Linked DNA regions of Drosophila melanogaster. The gene in region 1 interacts genetically with each later gene. Each region holds a gene or a part of one and is shown in the gene's direction. Other genes may lie near its edges. The genes, in order: Taf6 and Dsor1.

Region 1 (3,920 bases):
AGATTCCTTGCAATCACTCCGGTAGCCGCAGCTCTTTGCCCTGCTCCTGCGACTCATACAACTCTTGGTGCTGTATCGACTCTTGCAGCTGGCATCGGACTTGTAACCGGAGTTGTGGTTGTGGCTGCTCCGCTGATGTCGTACGCTTCCGTAATCCGAGACGTAACCGCTCTTAGCGGCCAAGACCTTACTGCAAATAGTGGTGCTTGCTCCTGTTCCACTAGCCGCACCCACACTCATACTCCTCAGCCTAAACTTCTTGTTCACGTCGATCTCTCGCCACAGCGGATCAAGCTGAAGTTCCTCTTTGTTGGATGAACTGCAGGCTGTCTTTTTATTGTTCTGCCGTCGCTTACTCCTGGGCGGTGGATAGAGCACCCGCTCAGTGGCATACATTCGCTTGTCCAGATACGCCATGTCGATCTTAGGCTTGCTGCTGGAGGCGATTGGCAGCGATCCCGTCGGCACAGCATTCTCATTTTGCATTTTCGGGGAGGGAGTAGTGCTCTGCGTTGTGCTAGTGGTGCTTATCACACCCGAATCGGCAGATTCGTTTATAGCAGGGCCAGAGTTTCCTGGGGCAGGAACTGTGGGAACCACTTTTTTGGGTCTACCTCTGCGCTTTCGAGGAACAGCTGTTTGGACTAGGGTCTCCTCCTTAGCTTTAGCCACTTTCTCCTCCGCAAGCTTCGCATTGACGGTCTGCCCCAGCATCTGAGTCTTCTCCATGAAGTCTTGCAGCAAAGTTGACTGGTACTGGGGTAGGTTCTTGTCCTTGGCCGCTTTGCGGAAACTTCCTTCCACAGTTGTGTCCTCCGTATCGCTCTCCACTCGCTTGATAGCCGCCTGCACCAGGTTAGGTAACTCGTTGTCGCTGGACGAGATTCCGATATCGAGGGTGGGTTTGCTGGCCGACTGTGCCGCCTGGATGATAGCACTTAGCAGCACTCGCGGAGCTCTCTGCTGATGCACCTTCAAGGGCAGATCGTCCTCTGAGTCCGAGGAAAATGCCGAGATCTGTGACTTCTTAGACTTAGACACTTTGTCCGATTTACTAATCCCACTGGAACTTGCCAGCTTCTTGCGCTTGACCTTCACTTTCTTGCTGACCGCTCTATTTTTGGCCTCCGAGCAGCCGGACTCGGTGTCCTGGGTAGACATTTTTCTGGACTTTGGGGGTTTCTTGGTTGCTACGACTCCTAACGTGGGGCGGATGGCCGAGATTCTCATTCGCAGTCCATCGGTGTCCGAACGCTGCACGCTAAACTGGGTGGCTGACTTGATCGACTTCGACTGGCTCGATTGATCCGTAATGGAATCGGTTTCCTGAGGAGAACAACACACTTTACATATAGCATTGCATAAAGGGTGCCATTTTAAAGACTTGCCTCATTTTCACTGCCGGATTCTTGTGCGCGTTGCGTTTCCAGAACCTTTGCTGCTGCCGTCTCATTTTGGCTACAGCTCATATTTTGGAGTCGCTGGGGAGCTGCAAAGGTTCGCTTTTGTTAGCCAAGTGTTTTTAATTCGATTTGGTGGCACTCTTAATCGCCTTTAAAGTAGGTCAAACCGCGGTGACATCGTCCAAAAAAAAAACCATTACCTACAGCACACTTACGCTTGATTGTTTTCTGGGCTAGTAGTAGACCTCAGTAGTCGGTTTCGTTTGTGCCGAAATGACAATCTATTGCTGCACACATTGCATTTGCACTTTTCTTGAGCCTTAGGCCGTGGCTTGCCTGCTTCTAAAATGGCGCCGTTTTCACTTTCCCAAAAACTGCTTTGTTCGACGCCCGACGACGGCGCAACGTTGCAACGCTTCTCGCATGTGGCACATTAATCCGCGGTACCGATAATTCACTTTTTTCGCGACTAGTGGGCGGTGGCGGGGCGCATCAATTGTTATTGTTAATGTGGCGCAACAACAAAAAGCCAGGCAACCAAAAATTTACGAACATAAATAAAGAAAAAGACTGCGTTTCAGTGTGCCCAGCTGGGGTGTACGTGATGTCTACGCGACAGTGTGACCTTGCGGCGGAATTTAGCAGGCAACTATCGCGAACAATAGTGGATTCTATTCAAAAATAGCTGGAAAAAAACAAGCCGATTATTGTATAACAATGTGAAACCAGTAATATTAATATGACATTTTTTATGAATTAAAAATGAATTCTTATATTTTTTTTACTATTGTAACTAAATATTTGTTATGGGAATATATTCCTTACATGAACTCGCAAATAGCAAAATTTTAGGTGACCATAAAACTAATTATAGCAGACGATATGAAACAACAAAAAAGCCAGAATAGCTAGATTTTCTCTTTTGGGTGTGTGCACACTGGCCGAGCAGCTCGGCGATTATTATTTGTTTATTTGTAAAAACCTGGGAAATGAGTGGAAAACCGTCGAAACCGAGCAGCCCCTCCAGCAGCATGCTGTACGGCTCCAGCATCTCGGCGGAGTCCATGAAGGTGATCGCGGAGAGCATCGGAGTGGGCTCCCTGTCGGATGACGCCGCCAAGGAACTAGCGGAGGATGTGTCCATCAAGCTGAAGAGGATTGTACAGGATGCGGCCAAGTTCATGAACCACGCCAAGCGGCAGAAGCTCTCAGTGCGGGACATCGACATGTCCCTTAAGGTGCGAAATGTGGAGCCGCAGTACGGTTTCGTAGCCAAGGACTTCATTCCATTCCGCTTCGCATCTGGCGGAGGACGGGAGCTGCACTTCACCGAGGACAAGGAAATCGACCTAGGAGAAATCACATCCACCAACTCTGTAAAAATTCCCCTGGATCTCACCCTGCGCTCCCATTGGTTTGTTGTGGAGGGAGTGCAACCCACTGTGCCCGAAAACCCCCCTCCGCTCTCGAAGGATTCCCAGTTACTGGACTCGGTCAATCCAGTTATTAAGATGGATCAAGGCCTAAACAAAGATGCGGCAGGCAAACCCACCACCGGCAAGATACACAAGCTGAAAAACGTGGAGACCATTCATGTCAAGCAACTGGCCACGCACGAGTTGTCCGTGGAGCAGCAGTTGTACTACAAGGAGATCACCGAGGCGTGCGTGGGATCTGATGAGCCGCGGCGCGGGGAAGCGCTGCAGTCGCTGGGATCCGATCCTGGCCTGCACGAAATGCTTCCCCGCATGTGCACCTTCATTGCCGAGGGAGTTAAGGTCAATGTGGTTCAGAACAACTTGGCGTTGCTTATTTACCTCATGCGCATGGTTCGTGCGCTTCTGGATAATCCTTCGCTGTTTCTGGAGAAATACGTAAGAAATTTCTTATTGTATTGTTCTTTGTTTCTCATAAAAACGATGTTGTCTCCGCATAGCTCCACGAACTGATACCCTCGGTGATGACGTGCATTGTGTCCAAACAGCTGTGTATGCGCCCCGAGCTGGACAATCACTGGGCCCTGCGAGACTTTGCCTCCCGACTGATGGCTCAAATCTGCAAGAACTTCAATACCCTAACCAACAATCTGCAAACCCGTGTCACCCGGTAAATCACATCCACTTAAATTAAATAACCTTTTAACATCCATTTCCCAACCTTCAGCATCTTCAGCAAGGCCCTGCAGAACGACAAGACCCACCTGTCCTCGCTTTACGGCTCTATTGCGGGTCTCTCGGAGCTGGGGGGCGAAGTCATAAAGGTTTTCATCATACCCCGCCTTAAGTTCATATCGGAGCGCATTGAACCTCACCTGCTCGGCACCTCCATCAGCAACACTGACAAGACAGCAGCAGGTCACATCCGCGCCATGCTTCAGAAGTGCTGTCCCCCGATTCTCAGGCAAATGCGCTCAGCGCCAGATACAGCGGAGGACTACAAGAACGACTTTGGCTTCCTGGGGCCGTCGCTGTGCCAGGCAGTAGTCAAAGTTCGAAATGCGCCCGCCTCAAGCATTGT
Region 2 (3,920 bases), on another chromosome or scaffold:
CTCCCTGCTAAAACCATGCACCAATGTTAAAGAATTTAAGGCTGAAATGCGCCAATATCCGGATATTAAATATGTGGATATTAAGGAGGGCGACCAAGTGGCCCTACTACGTTTGGGCACGCCTGCCGCAGCCGAGGAACTGCTACGCCAGGTCAACTGCTCCGAGAGGCAGCTGAAAGTGCTCTCTGGCCAGCAGGAGACGCTCTATTGGCGAAAAATCGAGCAGGATCGCGAGGCGAAACTCTCGAAAAAGGTGCGCGTGCAGCAAAAACGCGGTCGCGAGAAAGTGGGCAAAATGCTGGGCAAGCACATTAAGTTTGATGATGGCGATGATGAAGTGCAGGCGGCCGCCATGGACTGAGTCACTTTCAGTTGAGGGGTGAGTTTGGATTTCATTTCAGGAAACTCTATAATATAAGCTATATAAATTTATAAATGTAAGCAAAAGATACATTTAGATCTAGCACAAGATTTCGTAATATTAGAGTAATATTGTAAAAACAAATTGAATTTTTAAAAAAGAAACTTCCTAGTGAAATTGAAATAAATCTTCTGAATGAAACAAACCATTTATTTTTACAAATTTGTCTGATCTTACAGGAACGAGAAAGAGATGGTTATATTTTCTCTTTCACTTATTTATTGATACGATCAAAGAATTGTGCTAGATAAAAGATACAAAAAAGAACTTTTGGCATTATTAATAAAATACATTTCCTAATTAATTATGTACACGTTTTTGAGAAGATCTTGCTATTCCTAATGGTTGCATATTTGCATTCGTTATTATGTACACTGTAATGGAAAAGTTAGCTTATGACCTATTAACCCCTGTAAAACTAAACTATATGTAAAGTGAGCCATCCGCTGGCCCCAAATAATGCATCGAGATGAGCAGGACATCGATGATGGTCCAGACGCCGAGGCCGCCAAAGCTGAACAGCTTTCCAATCCCTTCCTGCCAGTGGCCCAAGTAGAATCGATCGGCTCCAAAGCCCCCTAGCGTGAGGCTAATCAGCAGGGCTGTGCTCCACCGATAGCCCTGCGTCCAGTTGCATCGCAGGTTGCGGGTAAAGGATCGATTGCCGAGGCAGAGCACATCATGGTGCACGGTGCAGTTGGTACGGAATAGCTTATCCGTCGCCGAGTTGCAACTGGAGCGCTGGCCACAGCTCTGTTGCCACATTTCCGTTTGGTAGCAGTATCGGCAATTCATTTGTCGCTGGAAACTCCGTTCGCCCAGGCACTGGACATTGTTGATCACCTCGCAGGTTACATTCAAGTCCCGGCCGTAGATGCATCCATGATTGTAGTTGCAACGGATGCAGGGAAACTGCAGGCGATCACAGGGCGTTTCCTTATCGTACGGGCATAGCATGTTGTTGTTCCCATTGCTGCTACTGCTACTGCTGCTGCTGCTGTAGGCGGTTATGTTGTCCAGGAGTCCACCGGCACCTCCTCCACTCTTGGCCACCATGCTGGACACCAGGGGCGGCACATACACCTCGTTATCGTTGGCATTTCCATTGCCATTGCTCGCATTGCTGTTATCCTTGTGATCGCCTTTTGAGTCCGATAAGTCCATCTGGTTGCCACCGCTGGCCGTTTCGCTGTTCCTGATCCCCGTCAGCACGAAGATCATGATCAGGACAATGGCCGATCGCATGTTGACCACAATGCACTGTCGTTGGAGCCTCATTTTGGTCAGATAGAGCGGGGAATACGCCGGAAATGTTATTGTTTTTCCCTTTAAGAAAATGAGTGGGGTGGGAGAGTGTGACCGTATACGCGTGGCATGAAAATATCAACCGCGAATGCTCAGGAGAAATTTCTTTAAAAAGCGTATCGAATAGTTTATAGATATGTTTTGGCTCAATTAAATTGGCTAAACAGATAAGTATACCTCTCCCCTCATCGTAACAAATTAGTAATATCTAATCCTAATATCCTTTCCATTTAAGTTGTGACCATTGGCCGCTTTAGTCGTAGGAGTGTATTAACGGTATTTGGTAATCGCGACATCTGGCCATACCGCACCGTCTGCGAAAAAAACCCAAAAGTCGCCGATTTTGGCTGATTATTGCAAAAATAATATTAACTATCCGTTTGCTGTTCGTGTGCTCGGTTCGGGTGTGTTAAAGTTAAGCGCAACGCGAGGAATTGGTGCAAATTTACCAGCGGCTGGACACACAAAACGAAACATTCGCACTTGGCCTCCCTTCGCACGCCCCCTCGCCGACGCCCCTCGCCCCTCACACCCTTCAGCCGTTCGTCGGACGCCGCTGTTCGTAGTGCGTTTTGTTGTTGTTTCCACTGGAACACTCTCTATTTGTATTGTTTCATTTATTAGTTTTTTTTTGTTGTTGTTATTGTTGTGTGCTTTAACTTATCGGTAACGGATAACGGTATCGAGAGATATATATTATATATAGTAAGATGTCGAAGAACAAGCTGAATCTGGTGCTGCCGCCGGTAAATACGGAGGCAACTGTTGCCGCCGCCACAGTGGCGCCGACGCCGCCATTCAAAACCCCCTCGGGCACAGAGTAAATATTATACATAATATCCTTAATAACTGACTGGTTTTTAGGCCACCCATTCCAATAACACCGCATCCCCCCTCCCTCGCTGTTTCCCCTTCCACTCCTCGTTTTCGGTTTCCTACTCAGTGGTAAGATAATCCTGTAGTTTTGCGAGTTAGGTGGGTAATTAATATCCATCAATTGATCCAAGGAAATCCCATCCAGCTGGAAAGAAAGAGACAGTCGGAGTGAAAGAGCAGGTACTCTCTCTTTGTTTGTTGGTGTGGGTGGTGCTCCTTTCGTGTGACGCACAGGTACACAGCGAGAAAAAACTTACTGAGTAAATACAGTAAACTGTTTTAGTGCTTTTTGGATTAATTAACGGGATGACAAAGTCAGTTTCGAAGATAAATAGAAATTATAATTTAATAGTCCTACCTTTATCGTATATTTTTTTGTGAGCACCAAAATGTAGGCAACATAACATAACACAATACATATGTAATTTGATGTGTATGTTTGTGTAGTTTTCTTATTATTAGGAGAAACTTCGGCCCGCCCCTCATCCCATCCCCCACTTTCAAATCCCATCCATTGCTTGCACTTTTTACATTTTCGTTTTGGATCGCAAAAATTCATTAAGAGGTTAAATTAAAGCACACACAGTTTGCTGGGGAAGCCCAAGACGAGCATCGATGCGCTGACAGAGACGCTGGAGGGTCTGGACATGGGCGACACGGAACGCAAGCGGATCAAGATGTTCCTCAGCCAGAAGGAGAAGATCGGCGAGCTGTCCGACGAGGATCTGGAGAAGCTGGGCGAGCTCGGATCGGGCAATGGCGGCGTGGTGATGAAGGTCCGGCACACGCACACACACCTGATCATGGCCAGGAAACTGATCCATCTGGAGGTGAAGCCGGCGATCAAGAAACAGATCCTGCGCGAACTGAAAGTCCTGCACGAATGTAATTTCCCGCACATTGTCGGTTTCTACGGCGCCTTCTACAGCGACGGCGAGATCAGTATCTGCATGGAGTATATGGACGGTGGATCACTTGACCTGATCCTCAAGCGGGCCGGTCGAATACCAGAGTCCATTCTCGGCAGGATCACGCTGGCGGTGCTCAAGGGCTTGAGCTATCTGCGCGACAATCACGCCATCATCCACCGTGACGTGAAGCCGAGCAATATCCTCGTCAATAGCAGCGGCGAGATCAAGATCTGTGATTTCGGCGTCTCCGGTCAACTGATCGACTCGATGGCCAACTCCTTTGTGGGCACCCGTAGCTATATGTCGGTAAGTAACTGGATAGCTAATCAAAATCTATACTTAGGTGTATTAAACAACGGAAGGTCGATGAAATCGGCGAAAGTATTTAAAAAAGAACATTGCAATAG

Evidence for each region.
Region 2: of Taf6 (region 1) and Dsor1, changing one enhances a phenotype caused by changing the other (phenotypic enhancement), as found in Drosophila melanogaster (one study listed by BioGRID).

The regions. Positions count from the first base shown.
Region 1 is NT_037436.4:19,596,768-19,600,687, forward strand, and holds the start of Taf6 (TBP-associated factor 6), read left to right. Parts: upstream 1-2,320; 5' UTR 2,321-2,392; coding exon 2,393-3,277; intron 3,278-3,339; coding exon 3,340-3,509; intron 3,510-3,566; coding exon 3,567-3,920. Other genes in the region: ash1 (absent, small, or homeotic discs 1), read right to left, coding at 1-1,326, 1,389-1,469. UniProt on the Drosophila melanogaster protein: TFIID is a multimeric protein complex that plays a central role in mediating promoter responses to various activators and repressors.
Region 2 is NC_004354.4:9,245,363-9,249,282, forward strand, and holds the start of Dsor1 (downstream of raf1), read left to right. Parts: upstream 1-1,979; 5' UTR 1,980-2,436; coding exon 2,437-2,546; intron 2,547-3,179; coding exon 3,180-3,819; intron 3,820-3,920. Other genes in the region: Larp7 (La related protein 7), read left to right, coding at 1-361; amx (almondex), read right to left, coding at 845-1,699. UniProt on the Drosophila melanogaster protein: Required downstream of Raf in the sevenless (sev), torso (tor), and Drosophila EGF receptor homolog (DER) signal transduction pathways.